Schizosaccharomyces pombe: one gene and its partners. The protein of the gene in region 1 interacts with the protein of each later gene in a pairwise test. Each region holds a gene or a part of one and is shown on either strand. Other genes may lie near its edges.

The links.
Region 2: the proteins of sec2302 (region 1) and sfb3 interact in a two-hybrid assay, tested with the Schizosaccharomyces pombe proteins (one large-scale study listed by BioGRID).
Region 3: the proteins of sec2302 (region 1) and sec24 interact in a two-hybrid assay, tested with the Schizosaccharomyces pombe proteins (one large-scale study listed by BioGRID).

What each region holds. Positions count from the first base shown.
Region 1 is NC_003423.3:3,175,100-3,182,755, reverse strand, and holds sec2302 (COPII cargo receptor subunit Sec23b), read right to left. Parts: upstream 4,204-7,656; 5' UTR 4,144-4,203; coding exon 4,113-4,143; exon of another isoform or gene 4,064-4,112; coding exon 3,892-4,063; exon of another isoform or gene 3,843-3,891; coding exon 3,811-3,842; exon of another isoform or gene 3,650-3,810; coding exon 1,587-3,649; 3' UTR 1,418-1,586; downstream 1-1,417. Other genes in the region: gpc1 (transporter), read right to left, coding at 1-64, 103-172, 249-520, 572-751; hom6 (homoserine dehydrogenase), read right to left, coding at 4,863-5,953, 6,023-6,062.
Region 2 is NC_003423.3:1,186,161-1,194,520, reverse strand, and holds sfb3 (COPII-coated vesicle-associated protein Sfb3), read left to right. Parts: upstream 1-3,699; 5' UTR 3,700-3,708; coding exon 3,709-6,384; 3' UTR 6,385-6,875; downstream 6,876-8,360. Other genes in the region: ubiquitin protein ligase E3 component mlo2, read right to left, coding at 1-167; MCM complex subunit Mcm2, read left to right, coding at 413-645, 865-3,124; SPOM_SPBC4.02C (rRNA methyltransferase), read left to right, coding at 7,197-7,301, 7,359-7,434, 7,675-7,783, 7,881-8,360.
Region 3 is NC_003424.3:4,796,523-4,804,562, forward strand, and holds sec24 (coincidence detector Sec24/Sfb2 subunit), read left to right. Parts: upstream 1-3,072; 5' UTR 3,073-3,232; coding exon 3,233-6,013; 3' UTR 6,014-6,130; downstream 6,131-8,040. Other genes in the region: RNA polymerase I termination factor Rtf1, read right to left, coding at 745-854, 902-1,053, 1,099-1,431, 1,470-1,581, 1,621-1,708, 1,754-1,920, 1,968-2,406; rRNA processing protein Rrp16, read left to right, coding at 6,657-6,793, 6,849-7,971. UniProt on the Schizosaccharomyces pombe protein: Component of the coat protein complex II (COPII) which promotes the formation of transport vesicles from the endoplasmic reticulum (ER).

The DNA of each region.
Region 1 (7,656 bases):
TTATTGAGTATGACAGAATAAATAATCGCCGACTCTCCGGAAATATCCAAATGTAAACAAGAAGCTGACATTAGTTTCTTCACACTGCTGAAATAAACTTACCAGAATATTCCCCCAATAACAAAAATCAGCTATGAAGTATTCGTATCCTTTTCGTTGATACGTATAATACCTTATTTAAGTTAAAAATGATGGCATACGAGAATACGAGCCACGCTCATATCCATTAGAAATTATAAGCTACTTACCTCAAAGGTAAATAAACGAAAAGCTGTATAGTATACCATAGGTGCATTGATTCAGGAGCCATACCAACCAGCAAGGCAGTTAAAATGCAAGTGCTAACACCTAACGCGAAGGATAATTTATCGCGAAAACGAACAACTTTTCCGGAATTCCATTGTTCTTGAAACTTGTCGATCGATTTCCCTAGTCTTTCTTTTAACTTGTCGGTTTCATAGTTAATTTGTTTATGAATAGGCTGCAATTTATTTTTTTGACGTGATACTCCATGTTTCAACTACAGACATTAATAAAATACAAAAGGTGGTAATGTTATGTATGGACATACCTGTCCTTTCTTTTGATTATAATGCTTGTGTAGCCAAGAATAGACCCGATAAATGTTTGGTGCGTCAAATAAATCTGTAAAACCAACAGAATCATCTAATCCATGAAGTCCATAGTCATTGTCTTCCTCAAAGATCGAATATTCTGAATCAGTATTTTCATCAAATTCTAAATGATCCATTTTCCTTTATCAAAAAAGTAATTGGCGAAGCAACAAATCAACGCAACCGTATATCCAAAAATAAAGTAAGGAACCAAAAAATGGAAGCGTGATCTAGTTTGTAATCAACCGATTGAAGAAATACCAATGTTAATATTCCTATTAAATATTGTTCAATTTACTATGCTTTAATATTCTAGCTTTTGCAATAGGAAAAGAATTGTGTTGAGAAAGTTGCTGATTATCGGAATATGGTATACAATACGTGTTACAAGTAGTTATGACTATGATGCATATTTTCAATTGAACGGAACACGTTTATTCCAATAACCACCGAACAATAAAAGTATGTTATATTTAAAAAAACCTCTCTTTTATAAAACAAACATAGGCTCTTGCCCATTAACTAATTTTACACGTTTGTTGCTTAACTTAATACTACCATTACCATAATTTACTCCCAAATTAATCATAAATTCCCTGCGAATACGTACCAAGAATGCGAATTTTCAATACCTAAATTGGGGTAGGTTACTTTGCACGAAACATTAAATGCATTACATTCCGAGAACAAATTGAGTAGTTTATGCCTTTCTAAAAAAACTACATTATAAATACAGAAAATAAAAAAAGCGGTCTCCTTTTTTAAAAGATTTTACACCATTATCTGTATGAATAATATCAAAATATGGTGTTAACAAATGCTTGAACATTTTCTTCTAAAGATGGAATATATACTAATAGTTGATGTATTTAGGTTGCATCGACATTACAAAGCCATAGTTGATAGCTCCGCTATTACAAAGATGCAAATGTGTAATGATAGTTGTATAGACTCATCTTCAATATAGACAATTTAAGATATGACAGCCATTTTACGAAGATGGTCCATAAACTTTTGCAGGTTTACGTCGTCCGTTAAAACCGTTTCAGAATCCTTTGACATTGGTGAAAATTGAGAGGACTTGTTAAAAGAAACAGAAGGATTAATTCTTGATAGTAGGAATCTCGCTTGACTACCTCCCTGATCGCAAACAATAAATCGTGGAATAGGGAAGCGATCAGCCAGTAATTCAGTAACTTCAAGACGCGGAGCTAAAAGAAGCTCCTTCAAATTAACATACTCTGGTTGCTCTTGGTAACCAGCATTTCTCCATTGAGCAATAGTTGAACCATGGAAAATCAGTATATGAAAATAGGTGTCAAGTAGCAAAATCACATCTGGTTTAATGGAAACAGAATCCAGTAATACAGGTACCCCTTCAGGCTCGTTAAAGCTATAGGATTGAAGAGTGGGTTGTATCATAATTAAAGAATCATTGACATCCGCAACGTTCAACATATGACGATAGAAAGAAGTTTCATCGGGAGAATTATTAAAGATATGCAAAAATGGACTTCTCCTCAAGTGAAAAATAAACTGTGGATAAAGTGTAAAGTTTGGAAGTAAACGGAAACTGGAAGGGTCTTCTTTTCTATAGTCTGCAAAGTGTTGACAAAGCCTAATCAGGTTTCTATCAATCCATCTAGTTACGCTCATTTCATCCTCGGTTTGACATTTGAACAAAGCCATGCGAGCGACTATAGCAGCAGCAGCTTCCTGATCAAACGACTCCGAAATACTTTTTGCATTGCCGGTAATAAATGAGCGAGATATGGTAGTAACACGAAGTCGATAAGTTCCCGAAGAATGTTGGTAATATGTCAAAAACTGAATGAAAGCTTGAGTAGGCCTTTGCGAATTTGGATTCCCCATCTCTTTACCCAAATCGAAATATAGAGCGTATGAAGATTTAGGTGAAATCGCTGCCATTTTCCAAGAATTCGTTTTGCTTATGCCAATTTGAGTATCACTAATATTAGTACCTTTTTTATTTTCACCAACTCCATTTCCAATCATTCCACAGATAGTGAGGCCTTTAGACGTTAAGACTTCCAAATTCGCCATAAACCCCATTTTTAGATAACCGGAAGCATCAACACTAAATAATCTTTGAAAGCTCTGCTTAAAAATGGAAGTTGTAAATGAGTCGGATAGCACAATGGCACCACCAGTATTGTTAACAAGGTTTTCCATTTCCATTATACCTACTTGATCAAGGCAACCAGCAAATAAATCTAGAGCATGCCCTTGGTTGGAGAGGCGTTCAGCTAAAGAAGAATAGAACTTTTTAGATTTTTTGAAATGCTTAGCTTTGTCATTTGCAATTTCAGAGTGTGATCGCATTGGTTCCTTGAGTTCTGTTGAAACAACTTGACCCAGGCCAACCGTACAAGGACCACCACAAAATAACTCAATTCTCGAGCCACATTTAGGGAAAGCAATTCCGAGTAAATCGGAAGCTATCTTCACCGCAGCACCAGTACATCGAAGTTGCCTTTGCCCAGCTGGTACTTCGAGACAATCCGGCTGAAGTTGTTCAAGAATGTTAAGCAAGTGCATTTCACATTTCTGGACAGGCATAAGAAAGCGAGAGGCTGCACCAAGATTGAGGGTAATGCCTGTACCAGAAATTTTTGCTTTAGAAGAAGAAGAGCGAATTTGATTACCACTTAACGCTAATAGTTGTTGAAGCTTCATAGTGCTGTAATCAGCAGCGGGTTGAAAGACATACGATTTCGGCATAGCTTCAAATCCTATTTCATGAACCTGGATTAAAGACCCGTAGGTAATTAAACCAACAATGGCATCTGGAGGGAGCAAACTAAGACTAACTATGACTGCATCTTTGAGAGCAGTGAGTTCCGACTCATCAACTGCGGTGTCCATAACAAATAAAAACACAGGAGGAGATTTTACAGGCTTTGAAAGAACATACTCCATGGTAGTACTTTGACTGAGCAATTCCAACGGAAGACTGTTGCTGGAAATATCGCTATATTGAGCAGGAAGAGGATTTCGCTGAAAACAAAACGGACCTAGGTTCCAAATATTAGTGATTTGAATATATTTAAGGGTTAAAAATGCTGTAATAACTTGAACTAAATACTCGAAATTTATACCACTCATCACTTAAAATACGAAGCTGGTAACAGACATCAAGTATACGCTTCAAAATTTAGCTTGAACCAAGACTTACATATCCAGAATCTAGCACGCAGATCGACATGACTTATAAAATAATTTAGTATATTGTAAACCTAGGTGAATACACACGTACCAATAAGGATTTAGTACAGCGCGACACGGGGCTCTGCATGCAACTGGATCATACTGTTCTATTGTCATCCTTTCATTTTCATGTAAAGGAGTGTACATAGCAGCAATTGGAATGACTGCTCTAGCATTTTCAGCAGGTGTTGCTGAAAACGTATTCCATGAAAGTCGTATCCCTAAACCATAAGGTTAGCAAAGTTCTCCTCTTATAAAAAAAAGAAATACCATCTTGATCTTCTATGTCCTCAAAATTCATTTTCCCCTTAAGTTAACAGGACATTCAAACTTCGTCCAAAGAAGTAAAAAAACGTATGCTGGTATTAATTAGTGGACATGCAAATGGGTTAAGAGGGTACACATGCACCCATTAACGGGCTTAACGAATTTTAGCGTGAGAATAAGTAAACAAATTAACTAGAATACTAATTGCATTTACGAATGAATGAATAAGTATTCGAAGTAGTAGAGAGATATATTTTCTACCAGCTGAACCACTAACTTCTCAAAATTTAATATAAATCCAATATGCACTAGCAAAATAATGTACTTTTATCTCAAGGCGCTATTGAAGGCTATTGAGTAAACAAATTTTCTTGTCGATATAAACGATCGTTTGTTTGTACTCCAAATATATTGGTCTCTCAGAAAAGCCTTCGGACATAACACTTCAATCGAGTGTCACGGAAGTATTAACTACATGCACTAATGCAAAGAATCATCGTAGTTGAGAAAAAAAATTGAAAAATACTATAAGTTTACTACAACATACATATTTGAAAATTTTCTTCTAGTAGTATCATTAAAGCAATTAAATCCTTTACATAGCTCTAATACTTGTACATTCTTCTTATTTGGTTTATCAAAAATATTTCAAAGAATAATAACGGAAACCATTCCAGATATCTAGAAATGAGTAAAAAAAGAGATGATAAAACTTTATTTAAAGAAACCTAAACCAAAACTTTAAATATAAATTTAAGCGGAAGGAGCATCTGACGCGCGAACCTGAGACATAATTTTGATCATATCTCCAAGAACACCGGCAGCGGTCACAGCAGCTCCAGCACCGGCACCAATAACTACCAAAGGACGAGTATGGTAGCGTTTAGTGGTAAAGGATATAATGTTGTCAGACGATTGAAGGTTAGCGAACGGATGAGAAGCGTCGTACTTTTCAAGTTTGACAAGAGTGGTCTTGTTAGCAACGTCAGCCTCACCAACAAAACGGACAACCTTGCCTTCCTTCTCAGCTTCTTCGCGCATGCTAGCAAATTCTGAATCAAAGTTAGGTAATCCAGCTAAAAACTCTTCAGCATTTACAGCACTCTTCAAAGGTTCAGGAATGAGCGATTTAACAGGGAATGAGCTAGCTGACTCGACATGAACACCAGCAATACGAGACAAGATGGTGACTTTACGAGCGACATCCATGCCATTCAAGTCATCACGAGGGTCAGGCTCGGTATAGCCATTTTGTTTGGCAATTTTGACGATATCAGAGAATGAGGCAGTTCCTTTCTTGCCGTTAGGAGACCAAACGTTGAAGATGTAAGACAGAGTGCCAGAAAAGATACCTTCAATCTTTATGATTTCATCACCAGTAGCGATAAGTTCTTTTAATGTGGAGATAATTGGCAAACCAGCACCAACAGAAGCCTCGTGCATCAATAAAGCACCGCTCTCCTTGCTAGCCTTGATAATGTTTTGATAGACATCATTACTAGCAGAGAATGCTTTCTTGTTGGGAGTAGCAATGTTGATTTTCTTGCTCAAAAATTTAGGATAAGATTGAGCGATTGCTTCAGAGGCAGTGTTATCGACCAAAATGGCGGGAAGGGGGGACTTGGCAAGGAAATCTACCAAAGCATCTAATGAATAAGCACCTTGGTTCTGAGAAGTAAGGTTCTTCCATTCAGACAAATTAATGGGCTGATAATCCTTGGAGACGTAGTGACCTTCCATACTAGAAATGGCAACAACGTTAAAAGAGGTAGTGCCATTGGTAGAAGCGTTTTCATTAAAACCCTTAATTTGGTTTAAGAGTTCACCGCCGATGTTTCCTGTACCTATTTATTTTTAAGTGATTAGCTTTCGCTTTACAAAACATTCAAGCATTCAATTTATTGTGTGCTTACCAACAATAGCAACGTTAACGTTAGTTCTGCTAGCTGACATTTTCAAATAGTGGGTGGGAGAGGTAGAGATGCTACGACGTTGGGTCGGATTACGAAAAGCAGTGACAAGGGTTTTCTCAAAGGAAACTTTGGAAGAGGTGATATACGAATTGATAATTTTGTTGTAGGGAAATAAAATTTTAGAAAGTGTAGATAATTTAGGGAGATTTAAATTTTTTCCATGTCTAAATATTGTCATACCAAACATTTTTTAGAAGAGTTTATTTTATACCCAAAAATGAGTTTTCAACCAAGGAAGGATCTTTCTCTCTGATTGATATCAAAGTTTTGCAGGTATATTTGTTGTGAACAAAATGTGAGCGACATTATATTAATCGAGTCAGAACATATTTGTAATAATACTCAAAAGCGCAAAATCTATTACTGTAGCAATAATGATGTTGATTTCGTTTGATACAAATTTTATTTAATTTGATTTTGTTTTATTGAAGCTCCGCTAAATAAACTTAGCTAGAAATCTAGTATAGAAGCCGATTTATATAAATTAATCACAAATTATAAATATAACGCATTAAATTTCATATATGGGATTCAATGGCATACAATCATATATTTACTTTTACAATTAATAAAAACCACTTAATCAACTTATGTGATTTATTAGTGTTTATCGACTCGTGAAAAAAAATATTTAATTTTTTGCTTCGTAAATTAAATTATATGCTGCTAAGTGTCTAAATAAATCACATTCCATCCATCAAATTTGCTTTTTTATTATTAAAAAAAAAAAAAAAAAAAAAAAAAAAAGAGATTTTTGAAGAGAAAAGTCTAGGGTTCAAGAAAATGAAAAACTGTAATGAAACCAATCTGACTATATAATTTGTTAATTATATATGCATATTATTATGATTAGCAAACTCAAATCATAAGCAGGTGCAGCTTTTTCAATTTAAAAGTTCAGATAACATACATTAAATTATTTATTTATTTTCTAAATCAAGCTTAGAAGAAAATAAAATATTATGATAAAATACTGCGAAATTAAAATGTTCTGAATATACCATTTTAAATTCTAATGAAGTTTTCTTGCAAAACAATAAACCGATATTATCTTGAAGTAGGTTGCTATCTCTTAAAATATTTAAATTATTCTTCACCTTTTATTAATAAAGAAAATTGAATCAATTTGCTAGACAATTTGTAGAGCAGCAAGATTTAGAGGGTTGTTTAAAATCAACAATTAATATAAGAAAAGAATTCCAAAGTAATTTAATTATAGGTTTATATACGTTTTTTTAATGTAGTAGTGATTATAGAAACTAGGAATATAGGAAAGTAGGCACATATTATGCATCAAGCTCGTTGTACACCCACCACCCAACCATTCAACTACCTACTACATACAACTCACTCCAGTTTCCTACTGTTAGCCATAACCTTTATTTCTGAGTTAGCAGCAAATATTGCTTTTAAACGGTTTGCCGACTGAATACCGTTCTCCGTCCGTCTTACTTTTCCTCGGAACACTTTACTTGGAAGAAAAATCGTCGAAATTCGGTCGAGTAAAAAATTAATCACAGACCCAAAAATTTGACTTCATAAGTGTCAAAAGCGGTTATATTGGATACCTGTAA
Region 2 (8,360 bases), 2.0 Mb from region 1:
CTAGCTTTTTGACATGTCAAACAAGCGTATAAAGGTTGCTTCAAATAGCCCATCGAATAAGTGCACGTGTCAAAGCTGTAAGGCAAAACTTCTCGTGCCTCCCTTTCAAGCTCCCTTTGCTGTTCAACATATTGCTTAACCGTTAATTCATGAGCCGTTTCCTCCATAAGTTATTAAATGCAACTAAACGTTGGCAAATAGACGGCGTAAACAATTGCGAAGAATGTCTTTTGAATAATTCAAAACACTAACTCATTACGCTCCTCTATTTCATTTACAGGTATCACTACATTTTCCAATACAATTTAACAATATACTGTAGCATTTCTTATTCTTTCATCCTGCAATACTCTAGCTATTCAATGCATTAAAATAGTTAGAAACAACATCTTTAAAGTATTTGAGTCCAAAGATGGATTCTTTTCGGAAAAGGGGTCGCCGCGATTCTGAAAGTTTACCTTTTGAATCAGAAAATTCTTCTCTCGGTGCTACACCTCTTTCTTTACCTCCTTCTTCACCTCCTCCAGAATTCTCTGATGAAGCTGCAGAAGCTCTCGTGGAGGAGGATATTGAGGATCTGGACGGAGAAGCTTTAGATGTAGAGGATGAAGAAGGTGAAGATTTGTTCGGAGAAGGAATGGAACGGTAAGTTTTATAGCTATGCTTGAGACGTGTCTTGTCAATGTTGTGTATACTAAGTGTTGCCATCAATATATAAATTACATACTATTTCTTCTCCTTCTTGTAAATAAATATATTTATTGGATTCCTAGGTTGCGGTTATATTGACAGAACAAATCTTGATTTTCAAAAGAGTAGTTTCACATTTCGCGTCAAATAAGGTACTTTTTTCTAACTGTATAGTGATTATCAACAAAATTTGGAGCTAGATCGTTATGACATTGAAGAACTAGATGACGATAACGATCTTGAAGAATTAGATATCGGGGCCCGAAGAGCTGTTGATGCCAGGTTGAGACGACGTGATATTGAGCTCGATGCTGCTGCAGGTAGAACAAAACCTGCTGCATTTTTACAAGATGAAGATGATGATTTGGACTCCAATCTTGGCACAGGCTTCACTCGTCATCGACATCGAATTTACGACGAATATTCACCTAATGTTGGCGCATTGGACGAATCTGGTGAACTTCCTCTTGAATCAATTGCCGACGTAAAGGCCGATAGTATTGCCGAATGGGTTACTCTTGATCCTGTTCGGCGTACAATTGCTCGAGAATTCAAAAATTTCCTTCTTGAATATACAGATGAAAATGGCACCTCTGTATACGGTAACCGTATTCGCACATTGGGTGAGGTTAATGCTGAGTCGTTGATGGTTAATTATGCCCATCTTGGTGAATCTAAACCCATTTTGGCTTATTTCTTGGCCAATGCGCCTGCACCTATTTTTCGCATATTTGATCGTGTTGCTTTGGAAGCCACTCTTTTGCATTATCCAGACTATGAAAGAATACACTCTGATATTCATGTTCGTATCACTAATCTTCCTACTTGTTTTACTTTACGCGATCTACGACAATCCCATCTTAATTGCCTTGTACGGGTATCTGGTGTCGTAACTAGGCGCACTGGGCTTTTTCCACAATTAAAATACATTCGGTTTACATGTACCAAATGTGGTGCTACTTTGGGTCCATTTTTTCAAGACTCTAGCGTTGAAGTAAAAATTTCTTTCTGTCACAACTGTTCCAGCCGTGGTCCGTTTGTAATCAACTCTGAACGGACTGTATATAATAACTATCAAAGGATCACTTTACAAGAATCACCTGGCACCGTCCCCTCAGGTAGACTGCCTCGACACCGTGAAGTTATTCTTTTAGCGGACTTGGTTGATGTTGCCAAACCAGGCGAAGAGATTGATGTTACTGGCATATACCGCAATAACTTCGATGCTAGTCTGAATACCAAAAACGGGTTTCCTGTCTTCGCTACAATTATAGAAGCAAATCACATATCGCAACTTGACGGCAGTGGTAATACTGATGATGATTTCTCTTTAAGTCGGCTTACTGATGATGAGGAAAGGGAAATTCGGGCATTAGCAAAGTCGCCTGATATTCACAACAGAATTATTGCATCGATGGCGCCTTCTATTTATGGACATCGCTCTATCAAAACTGCTATTGCTGCTGCTTTATTCGGTGGTGTCCCCAAAAATATTAACGGTAAGCATAAAATTAGAGGTGATATCAATGTTTTATTGTTGGGAGATCCAGGAACCGCCAAATCTCAATTTCTTAAGTATGTTGAAAAAACGGCACATAGGGCTGTCTTCGCCACAGGTCAGGGTGCCAGTGCTGTTGGTCTAACTGCATCCGTCCGTAAAGACCCCATTACGAATGAATGGACTTTGGAAGGGGGTGCTTTGGTTTTAGCAGATAAAGGTGTTTGTTTGATTGACGAGTTCGATAAAATGAATGATCAGGATCGTACTTCTATTCACGAAGCCATGGAACAACAAAGTATTTCTATTTCTAAGGCGGGTATTGTGACTACCTTGCAGGCGAGGTGCACTATTATTGCTGCCGCTAATCCCATCGGTGGACGTTATAACACTACAATTCCTTTTAATCAAAATGTTGAGCTGACCGAACCTATTTTATCTCGTTTTGACATCCTTCAGGTCGTCAAAGACACGGTTAATCCTGAAATTGATGAACAGCTAGCTAATTTTGTTGTATCAAGTCATATTCGATCTCATCCTGCATTTGATCCGAATATGGATGTCTTGAAGAAAGTCCCTACTGAGACTGGTATTGATGCCAAACCCATTCCCCAAGATCTTCTTCGTAAATATATCCATTTCGCTCGTGAAAAAGTTTTTCCTCGATTACAGCAAATGGATGAAGAAAAGATTTCGAGACTTTATAGCGATATGAGACGCGAGTCACTGGCTACTGGAAGTTATCCTATTACTGTGCGTCATCTGGAGTCTGCTATCCGTTTAAGTGAAGCATTTGCAAAAATGCAGCTCAGTGAGTTTGTGCGCCCTTCACATATAGACAAAGCCATTCAAGTGATTATTGATTCCTTTGTGAATGCCCAAAAAATGAGTGTTAAACGAAGTTTGTCAAGAACATTTGCTAAATATCTTATTTAATTTTTTGACACAATCAGTTTATGGAGTCCAGTGATTTTGATTTCCCCGTTCTTTGACCCTCCTTTTGTTACTGCATCTGTTGCATATATCTATCCTTTAATAATTTGCAATCAAAATTTGCTTTACATTTTTATACCTATCTTTACATTCATTCTTTCTTAGTTTTCAAAATGTCAATCTAAATTATTTAGGTTAATAACACTTGTTTTGAATATCATTATTGACTATTCGCTATAGATACTAGGTGTATAGATACTTTCTCCGCTGTATCAATATTATTAGCTGTTTCATTAAAGAGCCACTGCCCATGTGAAATGACATTTTTTGAAACAGCTGAGGTTTTTTACATATAGAGCTAAATTGTCCATTTCCAAATTTAAAGGGAAGTCAACTTTTGACAATCGGAAATGCATCCAGTTCATATCTGATGTTCCTGAAGAATCTCAAATTTCACACTTTATTATCTAAAATTATTTATATCGTGTTACTCTTTCAAATCAGTCTTTTTATTTGGTATATATTTTGCCCTACCCTTACCTACTTATATTCGTACATCCACCAAGTAAACTTGACACAAAAACAAAATGGCCTATCCCGGGCAGTTTGGAAATTACGGTAATCCTGAGACTTATAGGCAAAATGTTGCTGGCAATATTGCTTCATATGGGGGCCCTGAAATTGACACTCAGTTAGCTGCTCAAATGAACGCACAAATGTATATACAGCAAGGTAGTGCAATGGCTCCACAACCCCGACGCGCTAGAAGACATAAAGATGCCCATGCATATGATATGTCATTGACAGATGCTGAACCAGCTTTGGCTCCTGTCATGTCGCCTGCTATCCCGCCTTCCATGAATTATCCTACGCCAAGTACACCCTCAGTACTTCCAGAATCTTTTTCTAATGATACAAATCTCCTCGATCCTGCAGCATTACCTTCGGCTCCTGAAGTTCGCTATGAAGATCAGCAATTGTTTAAAAACCAAATATTCAATACCATGGAAAAGGGTTCTCCACCTATGTCCACTACAGATTTTGTTGGGTATGAACAAGGAAATTCATCTTCCAAATTCGTTCAGTTTACCAGTTACGCGATTCCAGCTACCAATGATGTTTGCAATGCTTCCGGAATCCCCTTGGGAATGATTGTTCAACCGTTCGCAGAGTTACGTCCTGATGAAGCACCCGTACCCGTTGTAGATAACACAAATTCAAATCCCCCACGTTGCAAAAAATGTCGTGGCTACATCAATCCTTTTATCCAATTCACGATGGCAAGTAGTAAATGGACTTGCAATCTTTGCGGTTCAGAAAATAGTTTTAATGATGATGGTTTTAATCCTTTAGTCGGTAGTCAGCATGATGGAGTGGAGTCTCGTCCAGAATTAAATGTTGGCACTATTGATTTTAAAGTGGGGAAGGACTATTGGATAAAGGAGGATCCGCCAAAGCCGGCTCGCTTTGTTTTTATGATTGATGTTTCCTATGAAGCTTCCTCCAAAGGACTTCCCAAGGTTGCAGCTGAAGCTATTCGGAATATTCTCTACGGACCGGTACCTCTTGATCCTAATGTCAAAATTGCTATTGTCTGCTTTGATCGAAGCGTTAATTTCTTCAATTTATCTCCTAATTTAGAGCAACCCCATATGTTAGCTGCTTCTGATTTAGAGAATCCCTTTGTTCCATTTTCTTCCGGTCTTTTTGTTGATCCCATTGCTTCAAAAGTTGTCATTGAGAGATTGCTGGACAGTTTCCCTGCAATTTTTCAAGATGTTAAAATTCCCGAACCAGTCGTTGGCAATGCACTGGAAGTAGTAAAACTCCTTCTTAAGGAAACAGGTGGAAAAGCTTTTGTTTTTGTTAGTGCTCTTCCTACGATGGGATTGGGGAAATTAAGGCATCGTGAAGATCAAAGATTATATGGGACTTCTGATGAAAAGAATCTTTGGAACACCCAAGACAAGTGGTATACATCTCTTGCCGATGAATATGTTACTGCTGGTATAGGTGTTGATATTTTCTTTACTGCTACTGCTTATGTTGATGTTGCTACTGTTGGAAGTGTTGCGACCTTAAGTGGTGGGCAGATTTACCACTATAGTAATTTTGTTGCTGATCGTGATGGATCTCGACTTAAACAAGATTTATTTAGAAGTGTTACCAGAGAGCAAGGCTATCGAGTGATGTTGAAGACACGATGCTCAAATGGTCTGCGTGTCTCCAAATATTTAGGCAACTTCTTGCAACGAACTCCACAAGATATCGAATTTGGCAGTCTTGATGCTGATAAAAGTGTAACAGTTCTGTTTTCCTATGATGGAAAATTAAATGGAGCTTTGGACGCTCACTTTCAAACTGCGGTTTTATATACCACTCCTTCTGGTGAGAGAAGAGTAAGGGTTGTTAACTATTGCTGTGCTGTCACTTCTAAAAGCTACGATACGATTTCTCTTGCCATTGTTGAACCTATCGTTGCAGTTTTAGCTAAAATTGCATCGACAAATATTGCAGCGGGTTCTTTAAAAGATACATCGGTTAGGTTAGTGGAGGGTGTCGTGAAAATCTTATCTAGTTATCGGAAGGTTGCTGCTAATCGTTTGACTCCAGGCCAACTGGTTCTTCCAAAGAACTTGGTGTTATTACCTATTTTGATTCTTGCAGTTTTGAAATCATCTGCTATCCGAAGTGGAAGCATTCATAGTGATATTCGTGTTTCACAGCTCAGAGAGGTGAGAGCAGCTCCTATTCAAGAGTTGATGCTAAATCTTTATCCAAACATTTATGCACTACATCAATTACAGCCCACTGATTGTCTTCCTGACCCTGAAAATACGGGTTGTCTACCTATCAATATGCCACTTTGCGTTCGAGCATCTCGAAAATTCATTGAGGATGGTGGTGCTTTTTTAATCGTCACTGGCCAAAAGTCTTACTTATGGTTTCATCAAAGAACCTCTCCTCTTTTACTTCAAGATCTATTAGGTGTTGAGAGTCTTGAGGATATTGATTCTCTGAAAGCGCTTGAGCTTCCGACATTGGACACAGTTCTTTCTGTACAAGTTCGCAATCTCCTTTCTTCTCTTAGAATGCAATTTCCCAGCATGGCTCTTCACCCACAAATCGTACGCCAGGGTTTAGATGGTAGTGAAGGTGAAATATTCTCAACATTAGTAGAGGATAACACTCGCGAAGGATTTGGATACCTAGACTTTTTAACGAAAATTCACGAATCTCTGCATACTCAAGGCTACAAATAAAAACAGCTCAAATCTTCTTGCAGTTCGATACAAAAGTAAAGAATCTCTTTGTGGATATGTTTTGGGTTTGGTTGGTATAGTGTTGCACCGAATTTAATGCCGAGAAAAAGGAATCATTTTTGAGCCCCTTTCATTCAAAATTAAGCATATTCTGTTAGAATAAAGCATATCTTCGCTGTCGTTCCTATATTAACTAAAGTTTACTTGGACAGCACTATATTTCAGAATGGAATATTGCATGCAATAACTTGTTGAGCATTCATTTCTTTGTCAATAGTATAGAGCATTTATAAAGTTGAGTTTATGGTTAGTTCCTTTTAGAGCGTATCAACTTTTCAAAAAAAAAAAAAACGCTCTTCACATAATTTTTTCGTATGTACTTCTTCATTTGTTTATGGTTATCCCTATTTTCTCTATTCTTTCTTTTACAATGCGAAGTCCATTGTTTACCTTTGTTTTCGCTTTCAGTTACCAAAGTTCTCGGCTTGAAGAAACTTATGTTTAATAATATACGATTACTATGGGATGAAATAAAATTAACACTAAATGTTTGCATTATTAAGACTTTTATTGATTGATTCGACAGTACTTCGTTTTGTATGTTGGCATTAGTATATCGGGACGGTTAGCAATAGCGTCGGGTTCGGTAAAATGTGCAGTATATGGGCTAGTACGGGATTTTGTAGTTTCACCTTTCAAATGCTGGCTTAGTTAATTTTGAGATAAAAAAAAAAGCAATTTTTGGCGAAACTTTTATCTTATTATTTAAGAACTTAATTTTCGACGTTTAAACTGGATCGGCCTTTAGTTTAATGAGTTTGAACGTTGACATTGGGCTTGGAACCTATGACTTTTCAAAATGGGGATATATAGACGTTCATAAAATCAAAGAGGTTCACATTTATGATTTCGATAATGTAAGGCTCAATCCCTGGAAAGATAGAATGAGCGTAAAAACTAACAGCCTTTTGCAGACCTTGTTCCAAACTCCATTGCCAAATGCAAACATATGGAGCAATCAAGCGATTCGGATTTTGATGGCATTTAATAGTATGTTAATGGTTAGTCTTAACAAGTCCAGATGGAAAAAAACGACGTGTTTACCTTTGGCATAGTGGTTGTCTGTTCACCATAGTGTGGATTTTTTCATGTACCATGCGTCTGAGATGCAATTATTTATGTCCTCACTTTTATACTTCAGTAAACTCTTTCACTGTTTGCTTTCTTCCTTACTGACTTCATTGATGAGACTTGCTTACAATGATCATTTACTAACCTTTTTTTTTTAAGTTTTGGCTAATGGCGGATGGTTTTTTGATCCACACGTTTTAGCTGCTACCGGTGACGGTGTCGAGGTCGAGGAGAAGAGAGCCTGGGAAGGCTGGTGGAATGAAAAAATGTAAGTATTGGAATTCGGGTTTCGTACTGTCGACTTTGGCATTGAAAAGATGGAATCAGAACATATATCATGTGTCTATAGTTATTAATGTGTATAGTGTTTCACAAGCCAGAGAATCGATACGTCGACCTGATGTTTTAGCGGTATTACTTACTGGCCGCAACGAAGGGTTTCGAGGAATCGTGGAAAAAATCATTGCAAGCAAGGGTTTAGATTTCCAAGGGGTTGTGTTTAAACTTCAAGCTCCTGACGGTTTTTGGCCCCAAACACTCAACTTTAAGCTTTGGTTTTTTAATGAAGTTTACCGTCATTTCCTATATATTAACTCCACGAGGATATATGAAGATCGACCCTCCCATATAGAAGCATTTTCTGCCTGGTTGACAGAACGAAAAAAAAAGAATAAAAATGCAGATTTTGAAATTATTGCTGTCGCCGAACCTCCCAAGTATTTGAAGTTCAAAGTTGAGATTGCTCTTGTACGTGGAATGCTCACTGCCCACAATTTGAAAGCCCCATCTTTGAAATTACCCTTATACAAGTTTGTGAAGAATGTGATAGCAACTGTTGTTACGGT
Region 3 (8,040 bases), on another chromosome or scaffold:
ACTCTATGAAATCACTAGACGCTTGGCTAATTTATCATAAAGAAAAAATTATTTAATGATTTTACTTTTCTTCAATCAACCTCTTTTCATCCATATTTTATTTTCGCATCAATGAATAAAAATTTATGATGGGTAAGTAAATAGAATTATCTGATTTGTTATTTTGTGGGCATCACTTCTGTATTCATGTATTATTAATGAAACTTACTTAGTTTTCATTTATGTCTCTCTGTGTACTATTAATTTAATTCAAAAAATTCAGAAATGACCTGTCAAAATAGCCTCTTATGAATGCGGTTAATGTATGAGTTATTGACTGATAAAAAAACTAGATGCAGGCACCCTTGCTAAATTAATCAATGATGATGATGATTATTTTATTTTATAGCTTGACATTCGTTCTTTTTTTTAACCTTTTATTAATAATGGGTTAAATTATAACATCATATCGACTGGGGATGTAGTTTAGGGGTATAACGTTTCATTCGCATAGTTCGCACCTTGAAAAGGTCCCGGGTTCGATTCCCGGCATCTCCAATGTTAGAAACTATTTTTCCTTTTTATCCACATTTGTTTTATTTATTGACTACACGGCAAACAGGTTACATACACAAATGTATACTAGAAAAAATATAAAAGTGAATTTACTAATATAAGTAAGATGAGAACATTCTCTCAATGAATACACAAAAAATTTAAATCTATGACTTTGAGGAAGTAGTTAAAATAAATTTGTTCATGTAGCTAGCATAAATCATCGGCGTTAGAAAAAGCGGTGTAAGAATCATGTAAGTTCGAAATGTAAGTTTCTTCAGGAGAAGAATTTAGCATTTTGTGCAAATGAATTAAAGTATCTAAAGCGTTAACATATTAACAATAATTATTATATTCAAAAATTTACCAGAAAACGTAGAAAGTCCATCGATAAACAAGGTTTTTTTTATTCTTTCGAAATGCGATTTACAAGCATCTGCTGTCCATAGGTGATTAGCATATTCTGATAAGCATTTCCAATCAATCATCCGTTCCTCTGCAACATTAAGGTCCATCATTCTGAATTTAATTAGCTTCTTATTTAAAATTTTATAATTGGAGTACCTTTCAATTAACCATATACTATCGCCAAGTTTGAAAGGGGAACTATTATGTATATCTCTGGAAATTAGTGTGTAATACTTCCACCTACAATGATGACGGTGTCGATTTCTCATGTTTTTAGAAATTAGACTCCATTGAATAGGGGATGAAGGATTGCTTTGCAAGTATTGATTAACCGTTTTGATTAATTTTTCTTTCTCCTGGATAGTCCATGGTGAACGATTGATTTCACCAGGTTGAATGTAGTCGCGCCAATGATCTCTGCAATGCATTGGTAGTCTATTCGACAATTTGCCAATTAAGCTCCAGGATGTTCCATGTTTTTCAACAAGTCTATTAGTTAGTTGCAATTTGGAAAGTAAACTACATACTTTTTCAATTCTGCCTCATCTTCTATAGTCCATTTACATTTTTTCTTAAATGGATTATATTTTCTGCGGAGATAATTGTAAATACTCTTTTTATCCCTATCGATAAGCTCATCTATTATTAATTAGTAACAAGTGATAGTAATTGACTTACACAAACAATTATATAATGTTTTCATTTCATCACGATGGTTATCAGACCAAACATATTGAAGAAATTGTTCATCAGACCAATTTTTTTTCTGTTTTTTAATATTTATAATAAAACAGCAAGCTAAAGACCATACCTTTTTAAACATAGCAATTTCTTTTTCCAAAGTGATAATGTCGTTTGCTCCCCATGATCCAGACGACGCTTTTTTAACGTATTGAAACCTTTCATAACCTGGAATGTTAAAATATCCCTTAAGATGCCTATACACAGTCCTTCGTGAAACATTGGGCACTTGAATTTCTAGACTTGAATTAGCGGATTTTTTTGAAAGCACTCAGGTGTCATACGAAATTGAATGAGTAAATTATTGAAAGGTTTTGGAAGTCTTTTGGTTTTAATAAGAAGATCTCTCGCAGCCACAAAGTTTAATTCGCTTTCTTTCAAAAATTCATCAATTAGTTGACTTAACAGAACCCAAAAAGTGGGTGTCCAGTTGGTGTAATCTCTACTGAATACAAAGTCTTTATATGAAGTAGTGCCTGTTTTTTTGAAGCCTCGACATGTTTCATGGTCTTTCGCACTTCCAGCAATTGCTGTTTTCACATTTTCAGGTGATACCATAGTCTCATCATAATTGTATTCATGAAAGCTTATGGGGTTTCCCAAGTAAATGAAAGAACTTGTATTTTTCGAGTCACCAATGGGTGATAAGAGTTGATCATCGACAAAGAGCTCTTCATTGTCCTCTGTATCCGGTCTGCAACTTAAATTGTTTTTTCCTTGCATAATAATGTTCACTTGTCTGAAGAAATATTAAGAAAAAAACATTGACAAAAGGTAATCAGTATAGCAAGGGACCCGGGGTGTAATAGTTCATGTAAGACAAAACCAAATAGCGCAGGCAACTTCAATTATTCAATCTATAATTGAACTTTTGATACTTTGCAATTCTGAATTCTAATTAACTAGTGAGCCTGTTAAAATTGGGTAACATTATAGAGCGTTGGTGTAGCTAAATAGTGTACGATACATGCAGTGATGGTTTTTGAGAGCATTTTTAAAAAAATTTCAAAATTTCTTAAGATGTGACTCTCTTGTTTATGATATATACATGTAAAATTTTTAAAATAGAAAATTAAGTATGAGTGGTTTAGAAGAGTTTTTTTAGTTGAAAACGTTTACAGGTATCTGCCTCATATCAAACTTAAAAAAAAAAAAGAATAAATTAAAACGATAAAATATCTCTATTGGCTTTTGTTTACTAATAATCACTATTTTTTATCAATTAGGTACAAAGTTCCTGCCTATGTTAAAATTATTAGGGTAATAACGTGTGTCACCGATATAATTACTACGATACATAGTATTTAATAACGAAACTGTAAAGCTCGTTAACTTTCCAGTGATTACCTTAACTTTCCATCTACGTTAGTTGAACCAGCGAATGTAGCTGCCATTTACCTACTCCAGGGAACACTGTTAAAAACGTCTTTTTGTGAAAAGGAAGGAAAAATAGAGGGATCTTCAAAAAAGTTATTAAATAATTCAGTGTTTCTTTTCTTTTTTTTGCTAGCAATATACCACTGTAAGTAAAAAAAAATACACTAAAGCAATGAGTCAGGAGGACGCTTTCTACGGAAAGGGTAGTTATGGAGCTAGTAGTGGAAATTCGAATATACCTCCTCAAGGATTTCAGCCAGTTTATCCAGTTGCTGGCCAGCTAGATAATACCGCTCCTTATGTCGGGGCAGTTGCTGAGGGTACAGCTGAAGGCATTGTAAGCAATGGTGAATACGCTGTTGGAGCTATGGGTGCTGCTCCTACCAACATAATAGGATCTGTCGATCAACAACCACCCGTTTCTCATACCTCTCATAAGTCTCGTAGACAGTATCCTGCTGAGGTGTTTGAACTTACAAATACCTTAGCAGCGTCACCGGCTCCCCCTTCTCTTTCAGAGCCCTCTTACGTTATGGCACGAACTCCATCCTCTTCACCATATCCTCATGATCGCGCAGAGGTGGGAACTAAATCTCTCTCTGCACAATTTGGCGGAATGTCACTTGGAGCAGATGGTGCAGCAGCTATGCCTACCAATGAGTTAGTTTCTGTTGATTTGTACAATCAAACACCAGAAATTTCTGACTTAACCTCTCCTCCTCCTCCTATTAATTTACCCTTAAGCTATTCCGCTACTGGAGCAGCTACTTCCAATTGCCCTCCCAAATATGTTCGATCCACGATAAACTGTGTACCGACAACAAATAGCTTGTTAAAAAAGTCAAAAATTCCATTTGCATTAGTCATCCGTCCATATACTAGCTTGGTCGAAGAAGATGATCCAGTTCCAGTTGTTACTGATACTATTATATCACGATGCCGCAGGTGTCGTATGTATATCAATCCTTTTAGTATCTTTATTGACAATGGCCATCGCTATCGCTGTAATTCTTGTGGTATTGTTAATGAAGTACCCCAGTCATATGACTGGGACAGTTTCAGAAATGTCCAACGTGATCGCTGGCAACGTCCTGAGCTCAATTATGCAGTTGTTGATTTTATTGCTCCTCAAGAATATATGGTTCGTGCTCCACAACCTTTGGTTTACGTATTTTTAATTGATATTTCGTTTGTATCCATATCTTCTGGTATGGTTGGTACTGCAAGTCGTGCAATTCTGGAATCATTGGATCGCATCCCCAATAAAGAAGGACGTGCAAAGGTGGCTTTTATTGGTGTAGACAGTGCCCTGCATTTTTTTTCAGTTTCCCCTGGTGCTGAAGAAGCCACCCAACTAGTTGTTTCTGATTTAGAGGAACCGTTTTTACCCAGGAATCAAGATTTGTTACTTAATTTACGCGAATGTAGACAAGGCATTGAAAACTTACTCGAGCGATTTCAATCAATGTTTGCAACTACCCGTGATTCTAGTAATGCCCTTGGACCAGGTCTTAAGGCTGCCCATCGTCTCATTGAAAATATTGGCGGTAAAATTTGCTGTCTCATTTCGAGTCTTCCTAATGTTGGTGTTGGTAAATTGGAGTTACGTGAAGATCCTAAACTTTTGGGAACAAATCGTGAATCTAGCCTTCTTCATCCCAATGACTCCTTCTATAAATCCTTCGCGGTGGAATGCTCCACGTCTCAAGTCTCTGTTGATATGTTTCTTTTTTCTTCTCAGTATCAAGATGTAGCAACCTTAAGTTGCCTTCCTAGATACACCTCTGGTAAAACCCAATTCTATCACAGGTGGAATGCTTCCCGTAGCGAGGACGCTCTTAAATTTGCTTCTGAACTTACTAACTATCTCAGTATGGAGATTGAGCTAGAGGCGGTGATGCGTGTTCGTGGATCTAACGGTCTCCGTATGTCTTCTTTCTACGGAAACTTTTTTAATCGTTCAAGTGATCTATGTGCGTTTCCTTCTTTTCCTCGCGATCAGAGTTATGTAGTAGAGGTTGTTATTGAGGACACTATCACCAAGCCCTTTGTTTCTTTCCAAACAGCTATGCTCCATACTACTTGTAACGGTGAAAGACGGATTCGTGTACTGACTATTTCTCTTCCTACTACCAATAGTATGACTGATTTATATGCATCAGCCGATCAAGTTGCCATTGCACAATATCTTACTGTCCGGGCTAGTGAAAAGGCTCTTTCTTCTACGTTGAACGAAGCCCGTGATAGCATTATAAGTAAGCTTGTAGAAATTTTGGAAGTTTACAAAAAAAATTTGGCTGGACAAAACACCGGTGCTGCGATCCCGCTTCAAATAAGCACCAATTTAAGACTATTACCATTGCTTTGTTTAGCATTGACGAAGCATACTGGATTCAGAAGATCTAGTCATATCTCATCTGACCTTCGTTCTATTGCTCTATGTTATTTAAGTACTCTGCCAACTCCTTTACTAATGCGTTACATTTATCCAACTCTTTATTCTTTGCACGATATGCCTATTGAAGCAGGAACTGTTACAGAACAGGGTGTAGTTCTCCCTTCTGCGTTAAATCTTACTTCAGCTTTGTTGCAATCTTTTGGTTTATATTTGGTTGATACACACATTCATCAATTTTTGTATATTGGTAAAGATGCAGTTCCGCAGCTACTGATAGACGCATTTGGTGTAAACTCTCTTGCGGATTTGAAAGCTGGACGTTTTACAATGCCAGTTATAGACAACCCACTTAACGTTCGTATCAATGCGATTCTCGGTAAACTTCGTTCGTTGGATAAAGGTTCAACTATTATGCCTAGTCTTTACCTTGTACGTGGTGATGGTGATCCACAATTGCGCTCATGGTTTTTCTCTCACTTCGTCGAGGATCGTAGTGAGAACTCTCCCAGCTATTTACAGTTTTTGCAGACTCTTAAAGAGAAAGTTCGTGACTAAAGGCTGTAAAATCTGGCTACTTTCTACAAAACTTTTTTAAATTGATTGTTCTGATGGTAATATATGCCTGAATTAGTGACATGATTAATTAATAATATTCAATATGGTTAAACATTCTTTGGTTTTTTGTATTTTTAAGAAAAAAAAAATTTAAATAATTGATCTAGTAAATATACTTGGTGCTTTTTATATTGATGAAAGCTATATATGTATCAAACTAAATTAGGTATTTGCGTACATGTAGCTTCCAGCCAGCTTGTACATAAATTTTAGCTTTTATACCTTGTCTATTTTCATATTACTTGATGTTGAAGTTGTTCCAAGAATAACAAAAGGTTCTAATAATTTAATTTAATTCATTACAATTGAGTTGCAGTGTATAGATTTTCAATTTCGCACTTTAGAGCTTCACATCTTCTATTTAAAGCATAAAAAAAATATTAAATATTTATTAAATTTCATTTTCATTGCAATTAGATTATATATCCAGGCGAGTATTCACTTATATTGAAAAACTAATTTAAGAATGTAATTTTGCACTGCGGTACTAGGTGCTTGGCAAGTGGTAGAATTTTGCCTTCTGCCAAGCACTCCTAATTGTAGTAATTAGATTAGAGAGTCGAAATCCTATTATTTTAAAAAGATGGGAATCAAAGAGAGGAATGCACCTTCTCAATATAAACAATCATCTCGTAAAAACAAACGAGCATGGAGGAAAAATATTGATTTGGAGGATATCGAGTCTGGTCTAGAGCAGACTAGAGATGAGGAAATAAAAGGGTATATTAGTTTTTGCATTGTATTAATTAAAAATATTTTTATTAACTTAAAACAGTGGAAATGTCGAGCACAAGCCGAATGATGCTTTATTTGTAATTGACACTCTTGGTGATGATAGAATTGCAAAAAGAAGCAGAAAAAAAATTAAACCATTAAAGGTTGATCAAATTCTTGAAAATAAGTCTTCCATAGAAAAAGTTCATTCTCATTTAACGAATAATTCAACTGAAAGCAATAAGAAAGGAAAAATTTTTTCTAGAAAAGAACTAAATAGACTACAAGCTTTGGTGTATAAAAATAAAGATGGTTTAACCGCAACTTCTGCTGCTAGTGAGCTCAAAAATACCAAACAACCAAAGGAAAGTTATGATGTTTGGGAAACAAACCCAACAGTTACTATACCTGTTAAAAGACCTTCTACATTATCTAAACTACCCGAATCTTTAACTGAGAATAATGCAAAAGTCCCAAATGTTGTTATCGCTGATCCAGGAATGTCATACAATCCTGACGCTGCAGCTTGGATGAAGCTACTTGATACCAAAGGTTCAGAGGAACTTAAGAAAGAACAGAAAAGAATTAGTGAATTAGAGGAAAAGGAAAGAATACAGAAGAAAGCTTTTGAAGACAAGGGATTAGTTTCAGACCAAGACGTTAATCACAGCATTGATTCTGATGACCAGTCTGAACACGAACAAGCAGAAACTCCGATCCCTTCTTCGAAGAACAAACGAAAAACCAGGTCTCAAAGAAATAAGATACGCCAAAGAAGAGAGGAGGAGCTTAGATTACTTGAGCAAAAGAAAAATGAAGAGCTTCTGAGGACGATCGACAAAGCTCCTGCAATATCCAAAAAACTGCAGCAAAAGGATAAAGCTGAGAAATTCTCTAATAAGGCTGTTTCTTCTAGCACAACTGAAATCAAACTGAAGAAGAAAAAATTCGGTAAACATCGATTGCCTAACAACCCACTTGAAATAAAGTTGGGAGATGAGCTGACTAGTTCCCTTAGAGAGCTGAAGCCTGAAGGAAATTTGTTTGCCGATCGCTATTTAAGTTTACAACAAAGAGCAATGGTTCCTCCATCTTTGCCAGTATTGAAGAAATCAAAGTATCGTGCAAAGATCAAGGAAAAATATAGTCACAAAGACTTCCATCTTCAAAAAAACAGTATATAAAATATATTTTAGCTAGGGTATAAATTGGGGTTTTTTTTATTTTCACTTACAAATAATAATTAATACTTG